Linked DNA regions of Elephas maximus indicus. The protein of the gene in region 1 interacts with the protein of each later gene in a biochemical or structural test. Links are inferred from orthologs where the notes say so. Each region holds a gene or a part of one and is shown in the gene's direction. Other genes may lie near its edges. The genes, in order: MAVS, IRF3, TRIM31 and RNF5.

What was found.
Region 2: the proteins of MAVS (region 1) and IRF3 form a complex in vitro, tested with the Homo sapiens proteins (2 studies listed by BioGRID). The link is inferred for Elephas maximus indicus from reciprocal best matches to the Homo sapiens genes MAVS and IRF3.
Region 3: of the proteins of MAVS (region 1) and TRIM31, one has a biochemical effect on the other in vitro, tested with the Homo sapiens proteins (2 studies listed by BioGRID). The link is inferred for Elephas maximus indicus from reciprocal best matches to the Homo sapiens genes MAVS and TRIM31.
Region 4: the proteins of MAVS (region 1) and RNF5 form a complex in vitro, tested with the Homo sapiens proteins (2 studies listed by BioGRID, with this or other methods). The link is inferred for Elephas maximus indicus from reciprocal best matches to the Homo sapiens genes MAVS and RNF5.

What each region holds. Positions count from the first base shown.
Region 1 is NC_064843.1:42,464,713-42,471,978, forward strand, and holds the start of MAVS (mitochondrial antiviral-signaling protein), read left to right. Parts: upstream 1-4,213; 5' UTR 4,214-4,303; intron 4,304-7,266.
Region 2 is NC_064829.1:100,112,846-100,120,569, reverse strand, and holds the start of IRF3 (interferon regulatory factor 3), read left to right. Parts: upstream 1-4,700; 5' UTR 4,701-4,952; intron 4,953-5,695; 5' UTR 5,696-5,703; coding exon 5,704-5,868; intron 5,869-6,669; coding exon 6,670-6,841; intron 6,842-6,925; coding exon 6,926-6,996; intron 6,997-7,724. Other genes in the region: BCL2L12 (bcl-2-like protein 12), read right to left, coding at 1-4, 1,032-1,319, 2,049-2,140, 2,522-2,608, 3,464-3,606, 3,816-3,930, 4,315-4,342.
Region 3 is NC_064819.1:89,764,120-89,771,428, reverse strand, and holds the start of TRIM31 (E3 ubiquitin-protein ligase TRIM31), read left to right. Parts: upstream 1-4,242; coding exon 4,243-4,659; intron 4,660-5,287; coding exon 5,288-5,383; intron 5,384-6,167; coding exon 6,168-6,398; intron 6,399-7,309.
Region 4 is NC_064819.1:93,665,920-93,672,367, forward strand, and holds RNF5 (E3 ubiquitin-protein ligase RNF5), read left to right. Parts: upstream 1-3,915; 5' UTR 3,916-4,079; coding exon 4,080-4,219; intron 4,220-5,056; coding exon 5,057-5,075; intron 5,076-5,165; coding exon 5,166-5,278; intron 5,279-5,384; coding exon 5,385-5,439; intron 5,440-5,518; coding exon 5,519-5,636; intron 5,637-5,741; exon of another isoform or gene 5,742-5,742; coding exon 5,743-5,840; 3' UTR 5,841-5,855; downstream 5,856-6,448. UniProt on the Homo sapiens protein: Membrane-bound E3 ubiquitin-protein ligase that mediates ubiquitination of target proteins. May function together with E2 ubiquitin-conjugating enzymes UBE2D1/UBCH5A and UBE2D2/UBC4.

The sequences.
Region 1 (7,266 bases):
CTTCTAAGCAGTGAAAGAAACAAATTCCTGATACACACTAGATGAATGCCAAAAACATGTTGAGTGAAAGACTCCAAACACCAAACAACATGTACTGTATATTTTACCACAATTAAAAAATGATACCTAAAAAAGCCAATATGTACTGTATGGGAATCATATTTATGATTATCACATTTTATACAAATAACGCATGCATTATATGTTTTTGCCAACCACGCAACTCCCTCATGCATTATTCTCCTATGTGTGCTATGTGTGTTATATGTGTGGGCCTGTTATTTGCTAAAAATATGGTAAGTTCAATAACAGACAAACCAAACTATGGTGACAGAGCCAGAATAACACTTATCTGGTGGGGGGCGGGGGGCGGGGGGGTGGGAAGAAACAGGAAGGCTTTCTGGGGAGATGGAAATATTCTATATCTTGATCTGGGTGCTGGTTAGACAGGTATTTACGTAGATGCAGGAACAGAACAAGGTGATATGCTGTGGTTTAAAATCAGGAAAGGTGTGTGTCAGAGTTGTATCCTTTCATCATACTTATTCAATCCCTATGCTGAGTAAATAATCCAAGAAGCTGGACAGTATGAAGAATGCAGCATCAGGATTGGAGAAAGACTTGTTAACCTGCTATATGCAGATGACACAACCTTGCTTGCTGAAAGTGCAGAGGACTTGAAGCACTTACTGATGAAGATCAAAGACTATAGCCTTCAGTGTGGATTATACCTCAACATATAGAAAACAAAAATCCTCACAACGGGATTAATAAGCAACATCATGAAAAATGGAGAAAAGATTGAAGTAGTCAAGGATTTCATTTTACTTGGATCCACAATCAACACCCATGGAAGCAGCAGTCGAGAAACCAATAGACATAATGCATTAGACAAATCTGCTGCAAAAGACCTCTTTAAAGTGTTGAAAAGCAAAGATGTCACTTTGAGGACTAAAGTGTGCCTGACTCAAGCCATGATATTTTCGATTGCTTCATATGCATGCGAAAGCTGGACAAGGAAGAAGGAAGACCAAAGAAGAATTGATGCCTTTGAATTATGGTGTTGGTGAAGAATATTGAGTATATCATGGACTGCCAGAAGAAGTACAGCCAGAATGCTCCTTAAAAGCAAGGATGGTGAGACTTCATCTCACACATTTTAGACATGTTATCAGGAGGGATCAGTCCCTGGGGAAGGACATCATGCTTGGTAAAGTAGGTCAGCAAAAAAGAAAACCCTCAGTGATATGGATTGACACAGTGGCTGCAACAATGGACTCAAACATAGCAACAATTCTGAGGATGATGCAGGACCTGGCAGTGTTTTGTTCTGTTGCACATGGGGTCGCTTAGAGTCAGAACCAACCAACAGCACCTGTCATGGAGTGAATTGTGTCCCCCCAAAATATGTATACCAGTTTGGCTAGGCCATGATTCTCAGTATTGTGTGATTGTCCACCATTTTGTTATCTGATGTGATTTTCCTATGTGTCGTAAATCCGACCTCTATGATATTAATGAGGTCGGATAGGTGGCAGTTATGCTAATGAGACAGGACTCAATCTACGAGATTGGATTGTATCTTGAACCAATCTCTTGTGAGCTATAAAAGAGAGAAATAAACAGAGAGGCAGGAGAACCTCATACCACCAAGGAAGCAGTGCCGGGAGCAGAGCACGTCCTTTGGACCCCGGGTTCCTGTGTGGAGAAAGCTCCTAGGCCAGGGGAAGGCTGATGAGAAGGACCTTCCTCCAGAGCCAACAGAGAGAGAAAGCCTTCCCCTAGAGCCGATGCCCTGAATTTGGACTTCTAGTCTACTAGACGGAAACCCTGGTGGTTAAGTGCTACGGCTGCTAACCCAGACTGTGAAAAAATAAATTTCTCTTTGTTAAAGCCATCCACTTTGGTATTTCTGTTATAGCAGCACTGGGTAACTAAGATGGCACCTAACAACAACATACGCTTAAGATTTATGTATTTTACTGAATGTAAATAAGGCGGCAAAAAACTGAACTCCTAATTCTGGGGTGGGGACACAGGGCAAGAGACTACAAGAGGGGCTGAGAGCAAGCAGAGCACCAGCGATGGGGTGGGAAACTGGACCATGGGAGGATGTAGCCAGGGAGAAGTCCTCTGCATTGGGAGAAGCCAGTGAATTTTCGGATCATAGACATCTAACTTTGTGTCCTGCCCATGTTCTCATTTCCCTGTATTCCACCCCGAGTCCTCAATTAATGTCTAATGCCAAACAGCCTGTGTCAGTGATTTCAAGAAGGAAGGGCTGGGTGGCAGCCCCTGAGTGGTATATGGGGAGCAACAAAATGCCTCGAGGTCTGATGAGGAGGCCACATTGACAGGCCTCGGGGAGCTGGCTGCAGTGGGGACTGACCCAGGAACTGACCTGGGCAGAACGCTTTCCTTCTTCTGAGACCCCTGAGAAGTGAGGAAGCCTCATCCCAGATCCTGTTATGGCCTAGATCATGACTTGATCTGATAGAAGTCATGGAAAGGGTTACCCCCGGAAGCCAGAGGACTTGGAGACCCTGCATTGCAGAAAAGGAAGTAATAGAAGAAAAGACACCAGGTGTCACCAGGAGTTACCCCTGGGTGGTGGCATTATGAGTATGGATTTTGTTTTTCTTCATTATTTCTGTTTTTCCCACATTAGCTGTACAAGCATATATATATATATTTTTTCTTTTGTAAATACATTGACAGTGTGAAAAAATAAAGTTTAAAGAATAACAGTTAAAAAGTATTTGAAATGAGGTTGTAAAGGTCAGGATTATCTTTTGTTTTTCAGTCTTGGGAGGGCTCTCTGAAGGGATTCAGACATGACAACATGTACTTTTTTTGGGGCCCTCTGGCATTATCTTTGGGCCTGACCTCTGTCAAGGGGGAAAGGTGAGCTGGTGGTTGCTGAGTCATCACGTGTGGGCCACAGCCCTCTTTGGAACACTAGCCACTGCTGTGGGGGAGCTCTAGGGGTGGGAGTGTCTGAGGCCTTCACAGGGAGGTGGCCTAGGGCATAGATCATGTTCTGGACTGGTTCTTCTGTGAATACATGGCCAATGGTCAATGAATTCTGCTCATGAAATAGAGTAAAATGCAAGAAACAATAAAGGATAAAATAATAAAAATGTCCAGATAGGGTCAAAAGATGCTTTTTTATTTTGAAATAATTTCAAACTCGCAAAACAGTTGCAAAAATAATACAAATATGTCCATCTTACATAACCACAGTACACCAATCAAAACCAGGAAATTAACACTGATACAATATTATTAATCAACCCAAAAGCCTTATTTGGATTTCTCAGGTGTCCCACTGATGTTCTTACTCTGTGTCAGGATCCAACACAGGGTCCCACATTGCATTTAGCTGTAGTGTCTTTTTAGACTTCTTTCATCAGTAACATTTCCTCAGTCTGTCCTTGTCTTTCATGACCTTGACATTTTAAAGTTATTCCCTACATTAGTGCCCTCGAATAGAACCTTTTTTTAACTGCCACTTCCTGAGATGATAGAAATGTGCTGTCCAATAAGACAGCCATCAGCCACGTGAAAATAGCATTTGGAATATGGCTGAGAAACTGAATTTTAAATTTTATTTAATTTTCACTAAAATTGCTAGATGTAGCTAGTGGCCACTATATTGGGTGGCACAGCTGTAAAATGTCCCTCATTTTGGGTTTGATGTTCCCTCATGATTAGCTTCAGGTTATCACCGTGGCAAAAATATCACAGAGGAGCTGTGCCCTCCTTTGTCTCATTTTTTAAAAGCTACAGACAGGTGATTTGGGACCACCTACCAGGCCGACCATCCCCACACCCAGCGTGCTGCCTCGCTGGGCATGTGCGCCTTTGTGACCTTTGATTGTCCTCCGACATTTATCGAGCACCAACTGTGTGCCAGGCCCTGGGGACCCAGGAAAGAACCAAATAAAACTCTCACCTCTCAGAGCACAGAAGGGGAGAAACTGGGGCTTCACATAGAAAGCGCGATGACTTAACAGCAAAGAATCCGAGGCCGATGGCGGGCCTGGAGCCCGGATTTCCCCTCGAAGTTTCTCGAGATGAGCAAGGGAAGAAAACAATCCCCCCCACGCCCCGCCCCATGCTGGACTAGGTCGGTCGTGCGACCCGGGAGCCCGACGTTTCCTTCTTTCCGAGCCAAGTCCCCGCCCCGCGCTGTCGGGGCAATGGCCAGCCGCTCTGTCCCCGCCCCTGCGCCCTTCCTTCCTGACTACAGGGTTCTAGTTGTCCCGGCGGTCCGCAGGTCACCGGGTCGTGGCTGCCCGAGGTAAGACCGCCTTCCAAGGCGCCTGGTTCTCGTGGCCCAGAGCGTACGGGCGCCTTCGCGGAGGAGGGCCGCGGCCGCAGGAACCGAGTGGGAGTCCGCCGGGGTGCACTGGGCACGGGCGAGCAGGGGCACAGGGCCCGCGGGGTCGAGAGAAAGGGGTCCTGCGACACACGGGGTTCGCGGAGAGCCGGAGGGACAATTGGGGGGGGCGTCCGCTACGGCTGGAGGGGAGGTTGGGCGGGAAGGAGACGGGCACCGGCCGCCCAGCTCCTCCTGCCGCCTTAGGCCCAGGGTGACCCCAGGTGAGTCCAGGCTCGGGCGCGGCGACCTGTAGCGGCGGCGGCGGCGCTTGGGGGTCGAGAGCTGCCGTCTTACCTTGGGTCTCGGCAGTTCTCGGCGGTGACACCTGCTGGAAGAACAGCCTCGCCGCCCTCCCCGGACTTGGGTCTGGTCCAGGAATCCGAGCCGAGGCTGTGAGGCCTCACCCTTCCCTGTCCACTGAGTATTTTTTTCCGGAACGCGCTCGGAGCCTCTGGCGCACTGAGATCGGAAACTCATCGCGGCGCCAGGAACACGCTGCCGCTGCCCCCTGGGTCACTGAGATTGGAAGAAGGTGCCAGAAAAACATTGGAAAAACAAAAGAAAAACTGCGTTCTCTGTATGGATGCTGTGAAAGCCTTATAAACATTCGGAAGGACAGTCAGCGAGTGGGGAACCACGCCGTGGAGGTCAGGATTAGAAGGCACCCAGCCTGTCTGAAAGATTTACATTTCTCACTAAAAACCAAAAAACCAAACCCGATGTCATCGAGTGGATTCATAGCGACCCAATAGGACAGAGTAGAAGGGGGCATCCTTCCATGCGCGTCTCCCACCTGGTGACTCCCCTTAACCCCTCTCCTCCCACCCCTTACCTCATTGGTCCCTCCCCGGGCTTGAAGGCAGGAAGTTGTGGGTCTCACTTGCTGCAACGGGTCCTTTACCAACAGGCTGAACAGTGAGCTGCAATGAGGCAGCAAGACATGGGTTCAAATGAAAGAACCTTAGAAAGTGCTTGCCTCAATAAATGTGAACAAAAGTGGGCTTTCTGTCTTTTTGGACCACATCGATTCCATCCTAGGTCCGCTTTAAAGGCTCAGTTCCTTAAGGGCTGAGGCCTGAGTGCCATGGGGAGAGAAGAAGGGTCTATTATGCACCACAGAGTTGTTCTTTGCTCATCTTCCGAAGGCTCAGAGGATCCCCCACCATCTCCACCTCCCTCATCCTCCCGACCTTCTGTCCTTAGTGCTCATACATTCCACCAGGATTGAAGCACCTGGTGGTTGGCAAAGCAAAGTGCACATAGATTGTAGCCAGGACTACTGCCCCTTTTCTCGTGTGCCTAGGGCTTGCCGCCTCAGCAGCTTTTAGGTATTCTCTGTAAGGCTAGAGGTCTCGCCCAAGCCTGGTATCTACTAGTTCTATTGGCACTTGTTTCTACTCCAGCCTGGCCTTCTCGCTTGTGCCTCCTTTAGCATCTCAAGCTTCACTTGTTCAAAACTCCGTGCTACTGCCCCCCCACCCCCACCCCACCCCCACCCTATCTATCCTGTAAACACCACCATCTGCCCACTCAGCCCCCAGGGTATCCTCCTTGATTCTTCTCTTTCTCCCACATCCTACATCCAGAAAATGGCAGGAATCCAACTACCCCTTGCCAACTCCATGGTTACCACCCTGGCCATACTCATCATCTCTCCCCTACTGTGGCTCCTGCCATGTCTCTCTGCTTCCATCCTGGCTGCCCTACAGTCCTCATTCACAGCCAGAGAGCTCTTAATATAAATCAGATCCTCTCCCTTCCCTGCTCAGAACTCTCCAATGGCTCCCGGTTTCACTCTGAATAAAACCCAAAACTCTTTCCTGCAGCACCCTACATGAGTGGTCCCTGCCAACCTCCCGGACCTCCATCTCTGCCCCTTGCCCCTGCTTATTAAACTTCGGCCCCACTGGCCTGCTTTCTAGTCATCAGACATGCCAAGCTGTTCCCATCTTTGGGCATTTGCAGTCACTGCGCCCTGTTTCTGGAATACCAATCTTCCCACAGCTGAGAAGGGCTCAGCTCAGATGTCACCTCTTCAGAGAGGCTTGACCAGTCGGTTCAAGTAGCACCCTTTTCTCCAGGGGCTCTAGCTCATTACCCTGCTTTATTTTGCTTACAGTTCTTATTCCTACCTGGAATTCTTATTTACATATGTGTTACTGATCTACTATCTGTTCCACCCCAATAGAATAGAAATTGGGTGATAGCAGAGGTCTTGTCTCTTATTTCCTGTAGCACTCCCTGATGGGGGAGGCAGGTAAGAAACCAGTAAACACACACATCTACAATAACAAATTGTGGTAAGTGCTACGTAAAGGAAACAGCAGCTATTGTTTGTATTTGAGGTACTTTTAAAATTTTAAGCTTATAGGCTGAACTACTACTATATTGATAAAACAACCTCCCAGAGTCATTTTTGGGGTGAGGAAAAGCCTGGTAATTTGCCCCCAGGACACACAGTGAGTTTAAAACAGTGAAAGTGGTCTCCTACCATAAGAACATGTGTGTAGCAAGCTTTAATGATGGGCTTGCAGTTACGTCCTGGGAAGAACCTGATCCTGGAGCCTAAAGACCTCAGCTCTTTGCTCTTCCACTATCTAGAAAGTCCTCTAGATTCTTGGTACCTCATTTTCTTAATCTCTAGTATGATCTAATTATTATTATCTTGAGCCTCTTTTTTTTTTTTTTCCCCTTAATAATACCCCAAAGAAGCAGCACTTCTGGGTGGAGCTCTTGCTATTAGCCTGAGGGCCTTGGTGCTGGGAAGAGAGCCAGTACACTCACAGGCATAGCAGGTAGGGGCTCAGGCAGATGTAGACCTGGGGATGATGAGGGCAGCCAGAGCCATCTTCAACACTGACCAGGCAGCAAGGCAGAAATGG
Region 2 (7,724 bases), on another chromosome or scaffold:
AAACCTGTCGGAGAAGGAAATCGATTCTGACTCATAGTGACCGTACAGGACAGAGAAGGAGTGCCCCACAGGGTTTCCAAGGCTGTAATCTTTACAGAAGCAAACTGCCACATCTTTCTTCTACAAAGCAGCTGGTGGAGTCGAACCATCGACCTTTCGGTTAGCAGCCGAGTGCTTAACCACTGAGCCAATATATATATATTCCCTGACTTACGACTTATTAGAGTTATGATGAACCACACACACTTATGATTTTTTTTTTACGATTTGTGTATTTTTTTAACGTATGTCTGTATTATTTCTGTAATTTTATACGTAATGTTTCCAAACCCAAAGACAAAGATGAGATTTATAAAGATACTGATAATAAACAACGACCCGTTGCTGTCCAGTCAATTCCGACTCATAGCAACCCCCCGCATAGGACAGAGTAGAAAAGTGATAGCAGTGAAAACTAAAATAAAAAATGAAAAACAAAAAATGAGATATTCAGTTTTCCTCAGAACCGATTTACGATGAAGTCACAGAATGGAACCCTTCGTAAGTCAGGGACTACCTGTACATCTCACTGTTCTGTTTCTCTAGAGAGCCCTAAGGCTCACGGGGAAGGGGATTCAGGCACCACTGGGGAGACAGACTGTAATCGGATTAGTCCCATACACAAACGCCCACGGCAGGCCAGGCGCCCAGTACTTAGGAGAATGATCCTATTTTAATCCTTAGGACAACCCTTTGAGATAGGTACTACCACTTTCCCACTTGATGGATGTGGAAACTGAGACCCAGGGAGATGCAATCACTTGTTTTCGGGGCTCACAACCGGTTAGTGTATAGCGGTGTGGTTTAAGCCCTGGGTAGTGTCTGATCACTGCCCCATCAGGTACACAGTTGGTGCTCAATAAATACAGAATGAATGAATGAATGGTATAGCTGGGAAAACTCTGTCAGATCTGAAAGGATGCCTAAGAAGCCAACTCCCTCCCCACATTACAAATGGGTAAAGGGAGGCCCAGGAGACTTCAGCGGCTCACCCATCCTCCGTGGGCCTGGATCCAGGGTGAGAAGCTGTGCACGTGCTCTACGCTGAGTCCGGCCAGGGTGCCCCCTAGCCGGGCCACGCGCCGGGTCAGCTCCATGGCCAGGGCCAGGCGGGCCAGGGGCTCCGGGGAAGGCGGTGGGGGCCCAGGGCACGGTAACGAGGGGTGTGTGCGGCTGGGTCGAGGACTGGTCTCGCGGCTAGAGAACAGCTCAGCAAGGCGTGAGAAAGAGCCCGTGGAGAGACGGGCCAGCTTGCGGCGCAGGGCTGGGTCTGAGGCCAGCTGTGGGGCAGGGAAGGTAAGAGGTAGAGCTGCCCCAGTCACGTCCCTTTGCCCGTGCCCAGCCAATAGGAGGCTGGAGGAGTGGCCTTCTGGTCCTAGGGCAGCCTTGATGCTAACATTTTAAGCCACGCCCACCCCTTCCATCAGCCAATCACAAAGCAGCCCCTATAGCTCACTCCAACTACTCACAAGGAAGTGGTCCAGACCCTGAGATGGTAAGCCACGCCCCTACTGAGGCATTCAACAGCCAATCAGGGCCAAGCCCTTCTTTAGGGGCTCTCCAGACCCTAATTTTCTAGCCTCGCCCCCTGGGGATTTCCTGGCCAATCCGAGCCCTGGAGGCCAGGCTAGGTTCTAGTACAACCTCGCCCTCTTTAAGACACAATAGTACAGTGCCAGGCGCTTTGCCCAGACCTCCGAACCAATCAGATTCCAGGACACGAAAACAAGCTACGACCCCACCAATGCTCCATTTCCCTCACTTTCTAAGCCGTACTGTGGCCTTAGATTTTAGAGCTTCCCTCCAATTTCTCTCCTAGATCCTGTCTCTTATGGTCTCACCCCTGGAGTTAGGCCATGCCCCTCTACCAATGAGAGCCACTAACTTAAATTGTCCCCACCCTCGGCCCACCATACAGCCAATGCGAATGAAGATCCAGTTTCTGATCCCAGTGCCCAGATACCCCCTATTCCTATCTTCCTTGAGGAATGGAACAGCCCACTCATCACCTTCTGGTTGATAACTTCTGCCTCCTCCTCCAGCAAGACCACCAGCCTCCGCAGCAGGGCTTCTTTCTCAGTGGGTGGAGGGCCCTGTAACTCTGGGGGCAGAAGAGAATTCTGCTGGGAGCAGAACCCTGGCTACCCTCCTGTTGTTAGCTGCCATGGAGTCAGCTCTGAGACTTACGGTGACGCCATGCACGACACAGACTGATATGATCCATAGGGTTTTCACTAGCTGATTTTTTGAAGTAGATTGCCAGGCCTTTATTCCTAGTCCATCTTAGTCTGGGAGCTCTATGAAACTTGATCAGCATCACCACAACATACAAGCCCCCACTGACAGGTAAGTGGTGGCTGCATATGAGGTGCATGGGCCAGGAATCGAACTCAGGTCTCCCACATGGAAGAGGAAAATCCTACCACTGGCCCACCACTGCACTCCTAGCCCCATCCTTCTCCAGGGTCTCTCGGCACCTCACCTGGGCTAGGTGGTGATCTCAGTTGCTCTTGGACCAGCTCTTCAAGCCGCTGAGCCACCAGGGTGTAGAAGTCCAGAGTAGCTGGGCCTAGGGTGAAAGTCTGGAGTGAGAGGTCTCCAGGGTATCAGGGACTTAGGGATTCTCTCCTTCTCCAAATCATCTTGCCAGGTAGCAACATTTCCATTTTTAGGAAACTGAGGCCCAATGAACAAACTGGGTAGTAAAAGACCCCCAAACTCTTGTACCCCCAAACTCTGGACTTAGAATGTTAGGGCTGAACTGGATCTTGAAGATGATTCCATCTAAGGAAAGCAAACACATGGCATTCCAGCTATCACCCTAGCCCTTGTCCGTTTCAGGCATCACCAACTGACCACAGCACTCTTTTCCCCAGCTGTAAAATCCTTGTCAAGCTAGCATGCCTAGCGGCCATTACTAGTTTATCTAGCTTCACCTATGAGAGGAAACCTGTTTGTCATTCTTGATCAAGTCCAGTGACACCTCCCATTCCTACTTTGCTATTGGAGAAACAGAGATACAAGAAAGGGAAAGGATTTTCCCAGAGCCATGCACCCAAATAGCCAGGGAACAGCAATTGAAAAACAGCCCTCCTGCCTCTCTACTGGGAGTACTTATGGCCACAAAAGTCCTGGGGGCAGAGAAGCATGTATGGAAGGAGAGAGATAACAACTAAATATCAACTTGATATATAACTAGATAGAAAGGGACCACCCGCCCTCCCACAGTCAGCCCAGGAGATTGACAGAAATCTAATTTTATGGAGGGTGGGAGGGGAACAGAATAGAGAGAATTGGTGCTGGAGACCTCACACAGCTACCCTCTAGCTGAGTGGTGTTCAACTAGTTTCTTATCCTGTCTGTGCTTCAGCAATCAAGGCACCTGGCCCTGCTGGTTTTATGGGTGATCTGGGAAATCTCTTACCAGGTTCTGAACCATAGCAAGGGCGGAGGGGCAGGGAACAAGGCCGAGGGGACTCGGGGGGAACTGCTCCTTGACCCGGGGAGCAGGGAAGGCATCGACGAAGGCGGCTTAGGAAGTCTGTTGACTGCTCCTGGGTGGGACTCCTGGGGAGAAGGACCACAGAGAGTGACTCCAGAGGCCCCCTGCAAGCACTCTCTTCTTCCTCCCATTGAGGACTCCCTCCCTGCAACCCCAGGGACAGGGAACAAAGCCAGTAGAAGGGAGGAAAGGAGACAGACTGAGACCAAGAGCAAGTCAGAAAGGACCTAACCCCAAATGCTGGTCCCTGGGGGAGAAGGGCAACCCCTCTTACCTGGGTGGGGTTGTAACAGGGGACCCGGCAGCCTCACCCCGCCTAAGGAATGCCGCTAGGACCCTCAGTGTGTCCTCCCGAAGCCCCAACTCCTCCGAGCCTGCCATGGAGACACCTGCAAGAGAGGAGGCTGGGGGCTGGACTCCAGGGTCCAGAGGAAAGAGAAAGCTTGGAGCCCAAACTCTTTGTCTCTGAATGAGGAGGGGGCCAGGGGCTTGGACTTATGAGTCCCCAAGGGAGGAAGGGACTAAGGGCCTGGGTTCTGGGGGCCCAGGCTCCTGAGTTCCCTGAGGGAGAGGGGATCCAGGGCGAGGAGGGCACTGGGGACCAGACTCCCGGGTCTGAGAGAGGAGGTGGCTGGAGGCCAGGACTCCTGGGTCTGAGGGAGGAGGGGGCTAGAAGCCCTAGCTCCTGGGTCTGAGGGAAGACGGGCCTGGGGGCCCACAATCTGAAGAAGGCATATGCCAAGCTACTAAATCCTTAGAGGATCAAGGACTACCAATCCCATGAGTTTTTGTGGCACACATCCCCCTCGGTTTGCTCTTGTTCGCCGCTCAGCCTGCCGGGAGCTGTAGTTCCACTATGTGGCTCAGTCTGGACTCTTGGGGATCCGTGGGACGCTTGGGTTTCGGAGAAAAGAGGCTGGGGTGCCCGCTCTGGCTCCCGGTCTCTCCTCTTCTCTGCTTGCCCAGCCCACGCTAACACCTCACTCACCTGGCCCTGGGCCCCGCCTCCGTCACCTCCTCTACTGAACTTGTACAAACTTTTCTGCAAAAGTTAACTTCCCCGCGCCTGCGCACTGGGCTGGGTTGCTGCGTGCCGAGACGTAAAGGGGCGGGGCATTGTCCGCCCACATATTTGCATATGGAGCTCCCAGCATGCTTGTGCCCAGAAAGCCTTAAAAAGGCATGGGGGGCAGGGCTCTAGGCTGACGGAACCGCTCCTTTTGCCCTGGAGTTGGCACCCAAACAATGATAAAGTTGTTTTATTTCGAGACATCGATAGAAAGGAAAACGCCACCGCCCTAGAATTCAGCTGGCGGGAAAGGGGGGTGCACAGTTTCGAGTTCGAGAGGTACCCGAATCCTCGAAGACAGTGGTGGCCCCAGCATCCTGCGCGCTCCAACCCTCGAAATAGGTAAAGCGGAAGAGCTGGAGAGAGAGTTGGTGCCGTCTAGAAGTGAGGAAAGGGAGAAAAGTTTGGCCTGCACTGATAGTGACGAGGGTGGCTGTATATTCTAGAGAGAATGAGGCGAGGAGAGGGCTACACTGGCCGGCGTTGGAGGTCGGCAGAAGTCTATACCGCCAGGAGGAAGGGAGGAGTCTACACTGGGAGACCTGGGCGGGGAGGGGGGAGAAGTGTGTACTCTGCATCTGGGAGGGAGTACTCTTTAGAAAGTGGGGGTGTGCTTTGAAGGAGGGAGCCTTTCGGTTGGGGAGAACTGTGGATGGAGGCCTACACTGAAATGGGGACGTGGGTTCTTCTCTGGCTGAACTGTAGAGAGGGACCTCCACTGGGGTAACTGCGGGAGGTAGGGGTCTACACAGGAGTAGCATCTGCACTAAAATAACGAGGAAGGGAGGGCTCTACCCTGGAAGTGGGGGAGGGAGGAGTTTGCAGTGGAAGAGAGAAGGGCCTGCACTGGCGGAATTTAGGGGGTAGATGGTCTGCACTGAAGAAGCTGGAAAGGGAGGGGGTCCTTACTCAAGTGGGGAGCTGCTCTGGGGGGATGGGAGGAGGAGGTCTGTGGTACAGAGAAGGTAGTTTTGCACCCCCGGAACCTGCGGGTGAGGGGCTTGCGCCGTGGCCTTGGAGGGGGAGGCGCGGATGAGCCGGAGAGACCTCCCGCGCCCAGGAACTGCCTGCCCCTCTGTCCACAGGCCGGAGCATGGCGACCCAAAAGCCGCGGATTCTGCCCTGGCTCATTTCGCTGCTGGACAGGGGGCAGCTGGAGGGCGTGGCCTGGGTGGACGCGAACCGCACGCGCTTCCGCATCCCTTGGAAGCACCGCCTGCGGCAGGATACGCAGCAGGAAGACTTCCGCATCTTCCAGGTGCCTTTCTGAGCGGCTTGCCTCGCGGAAAGGAGTCCGAGGGGGCGGGCCCGGGGCGGGGTTAGCACGCGTGGAGCTGGCCCGAGTGCGTGCTTGTGGGTGGAGGTGGGCGGAGTTAGAGCGGGAGGGGGCAGGCTTAGCAGGACAGGTGGCCTGACAGCAAGTAGTGGGCTAAGTAAGAATCAGTGTTCTCATTTAAGAAATACAAAGATGAAAGCGGGTTTAGCATGCGAGGGCGAGGCCTGCAAAAAGTTAGAAACCTGGGGGTCGAGGAGGGCGGAGTTATATCGATGGAGGGCCCGGGCGGTCCGAACTGATGGCAGGTAATGGGGAGGGTTGGAACTCCCAGGTTCTGCGAATAGAACCAGAAAGGCGGGATTAGAACGCTGAGGAAAAGCCTCCTGGAGGCTGGGGGCAGGCTCTTGGTTGCAGAATTCTGGGGGCAGGTCTTGGAACTTTGGAGACGAGGCTCAGAGTCCCAAAGCTGGTTTAATTACCATCAAGTTAGGGTACACTGGTGGTGTATAGGTAGAGTTAGAGTGCGGGGAGGGGGGTTATTACAGAGGGTGCCCTGGGGCAGGTGGTGGGTGGATTTAAACACCCAGTAGAACCTAGAAGGATGGGTTAGAAAGCAAAAGTTTTTGAATGCTAGGAGCAGATTTTGGGGCACGAAGAATCCGAGAGTTTGGTAGTAGAGCCTTGTTGAGGTAGCACATGCTGGGGAGACAGTTAAGTGTTATGTCCTCTGGGGCAGGATCGAAATCTTCTCCCCTCCCCTGGCTCCCCTATCCGACCCCCCAGGCCTGGGCCGAGGTCAGCGGAGCCTACAATCCAGAGAAAGATAAACCAGACCCCCCTACCTGGAAGAGGAATTTTCGGTCCGCCCTGAACCGGAAGGAGGTGTTGCGTGTAGCCGAGGACCGGAGCAAGGACCCCCTCGACCCGCACAAGATCTATGAGTTTGTAACTCCAGGTGTGCAAGGAGTGCCTTCGTATGGAAGGCTGGGATCTGGTGGGGTCCCATCACCCTTTCTCAGCTCACTACCTTTTTTGATAGGAGTTAGGGACTTTCCTGAGTTGGACACCTCTCCGGACACCAATAACAGAGGCAGTACCTCTGATACTCAGGTAAAAATGTGCCCCCACCCTTTTGCCCCACCCCCTCCTCTCTGTCCCCATCAGCCTGTTTTGGCCTCCCTTTTCCTGCGTGGTACAGCCTCTCCTCCCTCCGGCCGCATTATCTCCCCTCCACTCTTGTCCCCCACATGACCCATGGCCAACCTTCCCCTTCCCTGCTCACACCCCTCCCATGGCTCTTCAGTGTCTCAGGAGAAAAGTCAGAGTTTTCCCTAGGCCTCAAGGCCCTAACACACCTTACCAGGGTTTCAAAGCTTTCTCGCTTGGCAGGGTGCCCACCAGCTCTTGGGAACCCAAACCCCCCCCCCTCACCCAGGATCTTGCTGATGCCTGTGCCAGGGAAGGTCCCTTCTGAGATTCTATTCATTCTCCCATGCCCAGGTCTTGCTAGATCCATGGGTTGGAATTAGCTCCTCCTCCCCCAAGGCCATCATTGTTGCGTGCCATCGAGTTGACTCCAACTCACAGCAACTCTGGATGACAGAGCAGAACTGCCCCCCTAGGGTTTCCTGGGCTGTAATCTGTACCAGAGCAGATCAACAGGTCTTTCTCCCACAGAGCTGCTAGGTGGCTTAACCAACCTTTCTGTTCGCAGCCAAGCACTTACCCATTTGTGCCACCACGGCCAAGGCCATTGTAGTGCCTGGCATATATATGTCTTGCTGTCTGTGCCCATGGCTGTCTCCACGATCAGACTGGGAGCGCTTTGAGGGCCAGGC
Region 3 (7,309 bases), on another chromosome or scaffold:
GACATGGCATATTTTAAAAATTTGTTTAGGTCTTCTTTTATGTTTGATCTTTCCCCATCTTTTGACATTTTTCTTTTATATATATTTTCAAATTAATTGGTATGAAGTTGTTTATTGTGTCTTCTTGTAACTTTTTGCAAACACTGTGAATAGCTATTTTGCCATTTTTAATCTAAATATGCTTCATTTGTGTCTTTTTTCTTGACAAGTCTTGCTAAAGTTAATGTCCATATTATTAGTATTAAAAAATTAGTAATTAGTATTCATATTTTCAAAGAACAAAGTTTTGGTTTTATCGATCTTTTTTTTTTTAATTTTTTTAACAAGAGGAGTGCGCTATCTCATTGAGGGAGAGCAAGTAGGAGTACATAGCAAGGTGTATATAAATTTTTGTATGGGAGACTGGCTTGATTTGTAAACTTTCACTTAAAGCACAATAAAAAAATAAAATAAAATAAATTTTGTTAATAATAAAAAAATAACTGCTTTTAATTTCTTTCCTTTTACTTCCTTTGGAAACCCTGGTGGCATAGTGGTTAAGTGCTATGGCTGCTAACCAAAGGGTCTGCAGTTCCAGTCTGCCAGGCACTCCTTGGAAACTCTATGGGGCAGTTCTACTCTGTCCTATAGGGTTGCTATGAGTCGGAATCAACTTAACGGCACGGGGTTTGGTTTTGGTTTTTTACTTCCTTTGAGTTACCTTTTTCCAGTTCTTTATTTTAAACTCTTAATTCATTTATATTTAGCATTTTATTTTTTTTAGAAATTTCACGTTAACTTATAAATGTCCCTCCCAGTACCACCTTAATTAATCCCACAAATTGTGATACAGAGGATTGCCTTTGTCACTCACTACTGAATATTTCGTAATTTCCATCATAATTTCCACTTTAAGCCATGTATTAAGAGCTTATGTTTTAGTTTGCAAACATATGAGTGAGTTTTTGTTCGAATTATCTTTTTTGTGTTTTTGCTCATTTTTATTTAAATTATAGAGAATATGATCTGCATCATAGAAATACTTTTTGTCGAGACTTCTTTATGTCCTAGAGGGTAATCAGTTCTTTGAGTGATCCATGCACACTGGAAAACAACACGTTATCTCTTTGTTGAGTATAAAATCCTATGTAAAAATATCTGATCAAGTTATGTTGCTCAAATTTTCTATATCTTTAAAAATTCTGTCTCTGTGTCATCTTTCAATTTCTAAAAGAGGTGATAAAAATCTCTCCATATTGTGGATTTGTCCATTTCACTTGTACTTGTCTTGGTTTTTGCTTTATGTCATTTGAGGCTATGTTTTTAGGGAGGTCCACGAAGTTCATGATCGTCATGTCTTCTTGAAGATTTTTCCTTTTTGACAACATGGAGTGTTCGTCTTTATTTGTTTAATGAATTATTTTACTTTTGTTGTTTTTGTTGAGAATCTATACAGAAGAACATAGGCTGATTCAACAATTTCTACATGTACAATTCAGTGGCGTTGATTACATTCTCTGAATTGTGCAGCCATTCTCACCCTCATTTTCTGAGTTGTTCCTCCCCCATGAACATAAACTCACTGCCCCTCTTTATTTCATGCTTTTTATCTTAAATTTTATTTTGTCTGACATTCCTGTTGTTGGGCAGATGTGAGTTAATATTTTCCTACGTCTTTTATCATCCCTTTATTTCTAGACTTCATTTCATTTTAACTTTGTTTCTTATAATCAGCATACAGCTAAATTTTAAAAAGATACATATGCTGCAAAAGACCTCTTTAAAGTTTTATAAAGCAAAGATGACACTTTGAGGACTAAGGTGTGCCTGATCCAAGTCATGGTATTTTCTATCACCTCATATGCATGGGAAAGCTGGACAATGAATAAGGAAGATAGAAGAATGGACACCTTTGAATTACAGTGACATAATTTAAAAAAAAAAAAAAAACCTTTTTTTTTTTTTTACATACATATGCGGGGCCCTGGTGGCACCAAAAGCTTGGCAGTTAAAATTCACCAGCTTCTTCTTGGAAACCCTACAGGGCAGTTGTACTCTGCCCTATAATGTCCCTACAAGTTGGAATGACTCGTCGGCAATGGGTTTTGCTATATATGTATATATATGAGCTATAATCTCATAATCTCTGTCTTTTAAAGGCTATCTTAATATATTTATATTGCTGATGATTACTGATACATTGGACTTAGCGGTGAGAATTACGTTTGCGATGTAACACACTCAGAATACATGCAGAAGAAATATGTAAAGCAGGATCATAAGGTCCAATACTCCCATGGGCCTAACTGACATGATCTAAGGAGCTAGGGGGTGGTGGGGAAAATAGATCTCCTCTCTAAAGGCATCAGAATTATGGTTATTTTTTCAGTCACCATGCCTGACAAACAAAACCTGTCCAAAAGTTAAATTCTGCTTCCAGGGGCCAGCAGTTTAGGATGTGTATAAACAGTAAATCATTATACAAATGTTAAGATGCTTTAATTCATCCTCAAAGCAAACAAACAGAAAAGCCTGGAGGAATAGACTTTCAGAAATTCTTTGACTTTCAGCAATTGCTATAATTAGGACAACGATATAATTTATTGTGTGAACTGAACATTTTGAGAATGAACGGAGAAGGTATTAATAATTACTCCAGGACAATGAAACCAGGGGCTGTCCCAGACAAATCAGAATGTATCTGGCTATAATCTTATAATCATCTGCAATCTCTGTTTGACCTAATATTGATATCCAATGAAATTAATGGTTACTTCCTGGTAAGGACAGAGGGCAGATGCTGGAGAGAACAGAGGTTGGTTAGAAGTCGGAATCCAGATGAAGACAAGTGGGAAGGAGGAAAGGTTAGGACACAATTGTGTTGAGTTACAGAAGGGAGTACAGATGATGCTAGTTAATAAATTTCCTAGTCAGGACAGAAGGCATAGGCCAAGGCAATTCAGGGATCAGAGAAGCAACAAGAATCAGGAAGAAATACAGATACATTAAACATTGTTATTGTTGTTGCTATGGAGTTAGCTCTGACTCATGATGACCTTAAGTATAACAGAACGAAATGTTGCTGGGTCCTATGCCATCCCCATGACAGTTGATAGGTTTGAGTCCATCGTTGTGGCTATTGTGTCAATCCATCTCATTCAGGGTTTCCCTCATTTTCACCGACCCTCCACTTTCCCAAAGATAATGTCCTTTTCTAGTGAAAACAAAGAATGGGCATGGAGACACCAGCATATTTATGACATACAGGAAACGACAACAAAGGACAGACTGGTTCAGGTGCTACACGGAAGTAAGGATCCATTAGGGTCAAGAACAATGTACAAATCAAGAGAATGGACTTGCAATAAATTTCTTGTTTTCCCACTGGACCAGGAATCTCCCCATGAGAGGGATGGTGGCTTTTTCCTTGTGACTAGAAATTCCCTGAGGTGGCTATCTTCCCTAGTTTCAGAAAACTCTTCAAAGTGAGCAGCCAAAGTACCTGACTGAGGTAAAGAATCCTTCCCTCCTCTCCATATGGAGTCCCTAGGTGGTGCAAATGGTGAACACATTTATCTGCTAACTGAAAGGTTGGCGGCTTGAGTCCACCCAGAGATGCCTCAGAAGAAAGGCCTGTGATCTACTTCTGAAAATCAGCCACTGGAAACCCTGAGGGGGCACAGTTCTACTCTGACACATGTTGGGTTACCACGAGCCAGAATCCACTCTCCAGCAACTGGTTTTTCCTTTCCATGTGCTCTCCCAACATCTGGGCTCTGCAGACAAGAGATGTCCAAAGCCATGGCTAGTGAACCAGCTGAACGGTCCCAACATGTGTGACCTCCAAAGGCCTCACCCAGCCTCTCCACGCCCTGCTGAAACTGACAGGAAGTCTTCTGTCCTGTGGACTTCGGTACCATGGTCTTTTAGGAATCAGTTAACTGCCTTGTATCTTTAATTAGTTCAAGGTTCAGAACAAATTGCCCAACCTGATAAGCAGTATATATCCATTTGATCTCAAGAAGTAGTAAGGTAGATTGGCCCATCTGTTCTCTCTCTTTAAAATATTCTCTACATTCTAATTCTTACTCTTTTTTTATTCGTTTACTCTTTTATCCCCCTTTCCCCCCCCTCCCTTCTCCTCTCCTTCCTTCTCCCTTGCTCAAACCAGTGTCCACAACCCATCTCCCCGCAGCTCAGAGAAACCTTCCTGCAGACCTGGTACGACTTCGTACAGACCAGAAGAAGCCCTCCTGCTTCATCATGGCCAGTCCACAGTTTGTCAGTAACCTGCAGGAGGAAGTGATCTGCCCCATCTGCATAGATATTCTGCAGGACGCTGTCACCATCGACTGCGGGCACAGTTTCTGCCTCAGCTGTATCAGTTGGACACAGGATCCATCAGACGGTTTACTCAAATGTCCCCTTTGCAAGAAATCTGTGAGGAAGGACACGCTGAGGCCCAACTGGCTGTTGATGAATCTGGTAGAGAAAATCCAAGCTATGAGTCCCCTTGAGGCACAACCAGAAAGGGAAGAACCAAGATGTCAGAAGCACCAAGAGAAGATCCATTACTTCTGTGAGCATGATGGGAAGTTTCTCTGTACAGTGTGTCGTGACTCCCAGGACCACAAATCCCACAAAGCCAACTTGATAGAAGAAGCTGCCCCAAAGTATCAGGTAAGCATTTTGGGTCCCTTTCCTGTCTCGCCCATCAGACCAGGAGCTCGGTGAGGACATGGGAATGGTTACTTCTTTCCTCTGGGTTTGCACTACTACCACCCCCGCCCCATACACTTGAGTGGGCAGTTCAGAGTCAGGCAGGGTGGGCACTCTAGGGATCTCATCATCTCTGGCATACCATTTAGTTCAAAAGTCTGAAGTGTTTTGAAGTCAAACCATAATGAAAAATGGAAAAGGCAAAAAATTTTGAATCAGAAGGTTCGGGCTCAAGTCCAAGCTCCTGAGTTTTCCATAAGACATTCAAGGAGTCACTTTACTTCTCTGAGCCTGTCTCAGCTTTCAAATGGGGCCAACAGAACAGAATTTACCTTTATAAGGCAGTCTGATAGAACAAATGAGGGAAATCCTTTATTAACCCCAAGGCACCATTCAGATATTAATTGTAATTATTCACAGATGACACATTCTTCTCCTGTAGGTCACTGAGGCCCCAGATTTCTTCCTCCCTATCATAACCAGCTCCCAGCTCCCCCCAGTCTCACCCACCTTCCCGAGAGATCAGGAGGTTTTGTGAGGCCAAGAGAGCTCCCAGGCACAGCTTAGGAAAATTGTCCTTTCCCCACAGGGACTAATTCAATTACAACTCAAGGACTTGCAGCAAAAGGAGAAGATGATAGTAGAGGTGAAAGCACAAGGCGAACGGAAGATCGATGTCTTCAAGGTAAGAAAATGCTCAGGTGTGGGTCTCTCTGTCCAACGGTCCTTGGAAGCAGATACATCTTCTCTTTCAAGCCCCTAGAATCTCTTATTACACTCACCACCCAGAAAAAGACCCAGTGACAAACAGAGTGGCTCAGAGTGGGGCAGAGTGTAGGATGGGCAGGCTGGAGGTACAGAAAGACTTGAGGCATCATGGTTTAGGATGTGTTCATGCCTTCTCCTCTACCACAACATTTGCTTGTCTGCGATAGCACCTTTGCACCTGGCCTTGCGTTATTAGAGTAGGTCAAACACTCCAGTCTCCTCCACCTGGAGATAGTGATGTAGGGAAAACGGGCTGGTGTTAGCATCAGAAATACCAATTTAAATACCTACTTCTGCCTCTTACCTACTGTCTTTACCTAGAGACTGACTCCCCAGTTAAAAAATGAAGACAGTGTAACTCCACCCAACCTCTTTACCTGTTTTGTGTGTGTGTGTGTGTGTGTGGGTGGGTGAGTGTGTGTGTGAAAGGAGATTATAAATTGAAAATGCAAGATAATTTTAAAGACTCAGGCCCTTGAAGGCAAAAATGATTAAACATTAAATAAGTTACCCTAAAACTGAGCTCATAGTAAATGCTAAAATAAGTTAGTTCTCCTCAACTTTCTTTTTCCAAATCTGCCATGGAACATTGTTCTACATTGACAACGTAAGTGTAAACAATAAAATTGCAAATTGGATGAGATGGGTGAGAGCCTCTGAGGCCATCCTGTCTTCTGAGTGTCCATTCTCCTCGCCCCCAGGCCCAGGTGGAGCATGAAAAACAAAGGATCATCAGAGAATTCAAGCACCTGCGTCAGGTTCTAGAGGAAGAGGAGAAGTTTCTCCTGTTACGACTGGACTGGCTGGCTCAGGAGGGAGAGAACGGGGGTCACTTCTTTGGCACTTCCACTGAGGCACAGCTGAACTCTCTCAATAGGCTTGTTGATTTCCTGAAGGCCAAGCAGCAAATGTCACCCCGTGAGATGCTCTCGGTGAGAATCCCTTGGGGGAGAAGCTGCAGAGAGGGACCAGCCCATCCCTAGTCACAGGTCAGAGCGTGACCACCTGGCAGAATACTGCTTGTTGTTTTTGTTAGTTGCTGTCGAGTTGATTCTGACTCATGGCAACCCCATATGTGTAGAGTAGAACTGTGGTCCACAGGGTTTTGAAGGCTGTGACCTTTTGGAAGCAGATCCTAGGCATCTCTGATTGGGTTTGAACCACCAATCTTTCAATTAGTAATACTGAGATCATCCCAATCATTTTACCTCTGGCACAGCACTGTCCAATACAAATACAATGCTAGTCACATATGTAATTTAGAAATATATTGCAAGCCACATATGTAATTGAACTTTTTTTTTCTAGTAGCCACATTGAAAGAGATAAAAAGAAACAGGTGAAATTAATTTTAATAATATATTTCATATAACCCACTATATCCGAAGTATTATGATTTAAATCAACAACAATACTTAAAAGTATTGATGAGATATTTTACATTTTTTATACTGAGTTTTGAAATCTGGCACACATTTTACACCTCAGCACCATCTCAATTCAACTGCTAAATTTTCAATGGCTGAAGTAAAACGTAGTCCTACCAAATCAATAAAGTTGTGTTTGATGGAAAAAGTATTTTACACTCCTTCAGTTTTTAAATTTAAATTTGTCAAAATTCAATAAGTTAAAAAACTCAGTTCCTCATAGTACTAGCTACATTTCAAGTGCTCAGTAGCCACATGTGGCCTGGCTGCCATATCGGACAGCATGTGTCTAGTTGATGCTCAAAATAAGCGGAGATCCCTCCTGAATTCACCTCCTACTCCCATCAGTGCAAGAAGCCATTTCTTTCTTTCAAGAAAGACCATGCAAAGCCATTCCAGTCCTCCGCCCTTCTCAC
Region 4 (6,448 bases), on another chromosome or scaffold:
CAAGAGAAACAGAACAGGGGCCTGCATGTCACAGTGGAAAAGAACATGCTGCTGCCATCGAATGTATGCCAACAGTGCAAGAGTGGGGTGACTGACGATATTCACAAATGCAGACGATGTGGGGGTCGCAGCAGCACCAATGAGTCCCATGGACACAGACAGTACACAGCCACTGTCGAGATAATGTGAATAAAGAGACACAGGCCAGGGAGGTCAGCCAAGTAAGAAATATGGGATGGTTCTTCGGGGACTGGAGACCCAGTTACCTTTCTCCTAATACTTTCCACTTAATATGTGATATTGAGTCACTGATCCTCTCAGGAGAGATGTCCAAGGATTGAGAAACACACGGGAGTGCCAAATGGGTTAAGAAACAAACGGCTCACAAAATATACTGCCAATAAAACTATTAAATAAATAGTATCTGTAACCAGAAGCACACACACTATCTCATTCTACGTAAGTGTGTCCTGAGGAGAAACACGCACGTGCATGGTGTGAAAACATGCACAGCAAACAGGCCAATCCAATCAACCTGAGTGTGCACTAGTCAGCTAAACCATGGGATTCCACGCATGAAGATTCTGGCATGGACCATGGACATGTGAGTCAAGACAAAATAAGGTATAACCTTTATGCGCTAAAGTAGACATGCAAAAACAAAAACATGCCAGTACCATGAAACCGTACAGAAGGTGCGATATATGAAAACACACATACAAGGGGTAGGTACTTCGACATGTCAAAACTGGATGGGAGACATGGGACCCAAAATATGAGAATGAATAATTGCTGAGGGAAAATAACACATCACTTCTCCACAGCGCATGGACAACTGAGGCACATGCAAGCCATTAAGCATGTCAAAGGCACACAGGCTCAATGCAGAAAACACAGCCCACACAAGGCATCTGTGTCAGTAAACGTTAGCACAGTGTTGAAGGCCACTGTGAAACAAGAAGGCCTGTGCCTGGAGGGAAAAGAGAGAGGTGTCTGAGGACATTCCTAGGAAGCAAATTCTGCTGGGGGGAAGGATGGCAATAACTGCCTTCTTCCCTCCCCCTCCCCCTTCAAGAGTCATGTGGGGCCAAAAACCAGGAAGAGGTTTTGGGGAAGGTGTAGGGAATGCCCTTTTCAGAATTTCCTGCCGACACCCCCAGTCCTCAATTGACATGGTCTTCATCTCTCCTCCCTCCCCTGTCTGTTCCACCCTTCCTCCCTGTCAGGCCCCCTCTCCTCTCCCCAGTCGGCCCTCCCAGACCCAATCTCTCCCCATCCCCTCATCCACATCCCTTTCAGCACCCTCCTCCCTCCTCCTCCCGTCCCTTTCCCGCCCCCACCTCAGTGGGGTGGGGGGCCTGGAGGGCTGGCCCCCTCCCCAGCCAGGCTGCGGCAGCGGTGGTGGCGGCTGGCTGTGTCTCTGCCTCTGTCGGGGTGTCGGTGCCAAGGGGGCGACGGGATTGGGGGGTGTCCTAGCCCCGGCCGATGGAGGGGAGGTGGTAGTGGGAGGCTGGGCCCATAGCGGTACGAATGATGGGGTGTTGTACCCCAAGCTCCCTCCCTGCTGTCTCTCTCTAAGGGCTGGGGCTGCTGCTGCTGCTATTCCCCCCCACCCCTCCCGAACGCCCGCTGGCTTCCGGGGCTGGCCAGGAAGTAGGGGAGGTGATGGGCGAGCTGTTTCGCCAATCATTCCCAGGGGCCCTCCTCTCATCCTCCAGCCTCCCCTTGCTAGCTCCTCCCCACAAGAGCTCAGCTGGGCTCAGCCCCTGCCCCTCTCTGGGTCCAGGTGCTTGTCTTTTTTTCTCCGTCCTCCTTTCAGCACGCACAGCTCTGGATCTCTTGGCGCTGTGTTCCTTCCTCAGCTCATTCCTTCTCCTCATTCTCCATCAGCTCTCCACTTGCCACTTTTACTTGGTTGGTCTCTTTCTGGTTTCTCCCTTTCTCCTTAACTCCCATATCTGTTGCTTATTCTCTCCAGCTCCACCTCATCTCTAAGACCCCCTTTCCTGTCCTCGATTCCGTTTCAAACATGCCAGGCGTTGAGTTCTTTACCTCTTTTGTCTCCAGGGTTCCATCTCCCCTCACCTCAGCCTCCGGCCCTATGGTGTGGTCTGGTCTTTTTGCCCCTCCCCCCATTATCTCCCAGCAGACCAGTTCCCTCCCCCACCCTCTCTGGACTTAAAGCTAAGGAATATTCTCTAGCCCTCTTCTCTCCCCTTTCCCTTCCACGCTGTTTTATGAAGTGATTTTTCTTTACTAGTTCCTTCCTTCCTACCAGCCTCATTACTCAAGCTGAGCCAACCCTGCCCACCACAACATAGAATGTGATTGCATCTTTTCTTCCAATGTGTTCCTTGAAAGAAAAAAAAAAAGTGGGTAAGAATGCTGATTGCTCTGGGGTGAGCAAGCCTCCTTATCTAGCTCCCTCTCCAACCCTGCTCCCCTCTTCCCCATACCCCAGGGCTCCCGGTATCCCTTTACCAGGATCATTCCATCACTCCTCCTTCCTAGTCTCCACCTCTCCCTCTTAATTCCTTTTTCCTATACGACCTCAGGCCTCCAGAACCCTCACCTACCGTCTGCTAGGCATTTCCCAACTTCTCACCTCACCCCACTCGATTCACGTGGGACCTTTTATCAGGGTGTTGCTGAACAGCTTTCAGCCAGTGTTTCCCTTCAGCCAGTGTCTGCCTCCCGCCCCCAGACACACCTTTTCCTTGAATGAGTTTACACGCACTGGGGATGCAGATGTAAAGAACATTGGCAGTGGGAGGACTGTTACCTAGTTCTCCTCCTTGGGCCAGAGTTACGGTCACTGACTGTAGGAAAGCCCCAAACTCTTAGGAAAGACCTAAGCTCTGAAGCAGCTTGCCCAAATACTAGGGCTCCAGGCCAGGAGGAAGACCCCAGTTCTACGGGACTTAAGGAAGGGCGGGCCTAACCCCATTCCGCCGCGGGTCACCTAAAAGGGGCGGGCCTTGCCATCTACGCCCACTCACAAAGGAGTGGAGCCAGACGTTTTCTGCTTTTAGGTTTAAAATGGAGTCGAAGTCAACTCTATTGTATCCTGTGTGTCACATTAAAAAGGGGATGGCCTTTAGCTCAGCACTGGTCTGTAAATCACCTAAAGAGGGGCAAGCTGAACCGCCCAGCCGAGGGAGACTGGTTAACACCAACACCGCAGATCGATGCTCCCACCATCCAAACCCAGTTCTGCTCCCTTCTTCACTAAAAGGGAGGAGCGGACCCAAATTCTGCTCTCTACGTAGGAGGCCGCAGCCATTTTGAACCCTGCAACCCCAGTATCTGCCCTCTTTTCCGAGGTCTTCGCCGTCTTTCCAGATCTCGGCCAATCAGGAGCGAAGGAATCGGCCCAATCAGCCGAGAGAGAGAGCGAGAGAGAGAGAGAGAAAGAGAGTGTGTCCATAGCCGGAGGACCCGGATGAAGCCGTACCGAGGTTCAACTCAAGCGCAGCCAATTGTGGAGCAGTCACCATGGAGACAAGATAGAGGTGAAGGGGTGGGACCAGAGAAGGCTCAACCCTCTCAGGATTGGCCCGGCCCGGCCCATCACGTGCTAAACATGCGCATTTTACTTAGTCTCCATTTTCTGGCTAAGTTCTAACCAATCAATTGCTTTTGAGTCACAAATTCGAAAGTCCAATAGGAACCCAGACTTTGTCGGAAAGAGGAAGTGAAGGAAAGAAAGTCCCAAGCCAATTGCTTTTGGCCTTTGGTTATGACAGGCAGCTACTCAGACGAATAAAACTCTCCCTGGCTGAGGGACTGGCTTATCAAGTTGTTACCAATCCCATGGCTCTGCAGGCTGACTCCCACCATACCAACCAATAGTCACTGTGCAAAGGCAGGACCACGCAAGCCTCTTTCGGCACATACCGTTTATACCAATTATTGCCTTTGAACCCTACGTGATTGGCAGACACTCAGACCAATACTGGTTAAAAACCCTCAATGCCGCCCCAACTATCGTGGGCGGGAGGCGGTTTCTCGTTTGTCGGAGTGTGTGTTTGTGTGTTTGTGTGTACTGAGGGGTACCCGGGGGTGAAATAGAATCGGCAATGGCAGCAGCGGAGGAGGAGGACGGGGGCCCCGAAGGGCCAAATCGTGAGCGGGGCGGGGGGGGCGCGACCTTCGAATGTAATATATGTTTGGAGACTGCTCGGGAAGCTGTGGTCAGTGTGTGTGGCCACCTATACTGGTGAGAACTGGGAAGGGGGGGCGGGAGGAGGGGCTCACGTCTGTACTGAGGAGGCTGGCGGCGGGGGACCATAAATCATACAGATAATTAGAGGGCACATCCCCATAGGTGAGGCACGCGGAGGGGACTTATGTCTCTTCAGGTATGTGTCGGTGGGAGGGTCTCGTTTGTAAAGACAGACCCGTGGAAAGCAGAGGTCATGGAAATTAGAAGCTGAGGCGTGGGGTTATGTTAAGAGGGTGTGGGACGGGAGGGACATAGTAAGTGCTTACGGTGGTCTTAGCCGTACAGGTGGAGACAGATGATATCCAAAGGTTAGGGGAGGCATGCGTTAGCTGACTGTGGGAGGCGCAGGGAACTGTAGGATCACATTCAGGTGAGATCTGGGAGAGGTTGGTATGACAAATCTGGGGATAAGGGCACTGTGGAAGGGCAGCCTTGAGAGATTAAAGGGTCCTAGAAATACTTTATTGGACCTGAAAGTGAGTGGAAAGGAGTAAGGAGGATATATGTTAGTAAAAGGGGTTAGGCTTGGAAGTGATAGGGCTGGGTTGAAGATTAACTGGAAATTAAGTCTACAAGCAGACGGGTTGATAATGTATGTGGGTGTGTGTTGGGGAAAAGAGGATTGAGTGTGTTGAAGATGGTTGGAGCTTTAAGCATTGGAAGACCAGAGAAGCAGGAAGGCCAGGTTGGCTGTTGTAGAGGCTGCCGAAAAGATGTAAAGCAACAGCACAGATACCTGGAAGAGGAGTGAGATGGGTATCTATGAAGTCTGGGTCTGTGTCTCTTTTCTATAGTTAGCTTGACCTTTTTTTTTTTCTTCCCCCCATCCAGTTGGCCCTGTCTTCATCAGGTGTGTACTCAGAGGAGATGAAGAGGGAGATGGGGAGGCCTGAGGAGCTTGAAGACTGTACTGGAAACCAATTCATTTTTTTCTCCCCAGTGGCTGGAGACACGACCTGATCGGCAAGAGTGCCCAGTGTGTAAAGCTGGAATCAGCAGAGAGAAGGTTGTCCCACTTTATGGGCGAGGGAGCCAGAAGCCCCAGGATCCCAGGTGAGAGAGGAGGTGGTATTGAGGGGAAAGTCAGAGGCTTTTTGCCTGGGAAGGGTGTGTGAAAGAGGAGAATATTCCTGTCGATACTCCTTTTCCTCTTCCTCAGATTGAAGACTCCACCCCGCCCCCAGGGCCAGCGACCCGCTCCAGAAAGCAGAGGGGTGAGTCTTCTTGTCCTACTGTGTTTGTTCCTTGCCCAAGACTTGCCTGGTTCCCCTCTGACTTTCTTCACCTTCCTAGGGATTCCAGCCATTTGGTGATATTGGGGGCTTTCACTTCTCATTTGGTGTTGGTGCTTTTCCCTTTGGCTTTTTCACCACCGTCTTCAATACCCATGAGCCTTTCCGTCGAGGTGCAGGTAAGAGCCATCGCTCAGCTCCTACTGGGGAGCCCTCGGAATCCCCTCAAGTCCTCTCCCTGCCCTGGAGTGGGTGCGTCCTCTGCAGCTCTTCTCTCTCCCACAGGTGTGGATCTAGGACAGGGCCACTCGGCCTCCAGCTGGCAGGATTCCCTCTTCCTGTTTCTTGCCATCTTTTTCTTTATCTGGCTGCTAAGTATTTGAGCTGTGTCTCCTTCCTGCCCACCTCCAGCCAGAGAAGAATCAGTATTGGGGGTCCCTCGTGACCCTCCTTACTCCTGGACCTCCCTTCCCCAACCCTTCCACTTCTGTTTGCTAAGGCCCAACCAGCCACTCTCGAGGAGGGCATGGGGAGAAGTGATATCTGGACACAGGATGGGAGAGCCTTCTGCTCTGAACTGCTCGCTCGTCTTAACTCCCGGCCCTGAGGGAGGAGGACAGACTGAAGAGAGTGTCGGTTTTTCTTCTCCTAACCCTTTGTTTTCCTCTAGATTTCTAGATTTGATGTTGAAAGGTGGGCAAGTTTCCCTCTGACTCTCTCTCATTCCCCACTTGTTGATTTAATTTAATTTTTCTCTCCCCAGTGTCTAATGTGGGTTCTGACTCTAAGTGCTACCTCCCACTCACAACCTCTTTATTACAAATTCAATAAAAAAAAAGGTGAAAAGTATATGTGGGATCTATCCCAACGTCTTCCTTCCCTCCACTTTTCAGGACAGGAGCAGCTTCTCCCAGCTTGAGTAGATGTTTGAGGTGGTGTGGGACAGCATGGGGGTGAGCCCCTCCAAGGCTCTTGGGTGTACAAGGGGTAA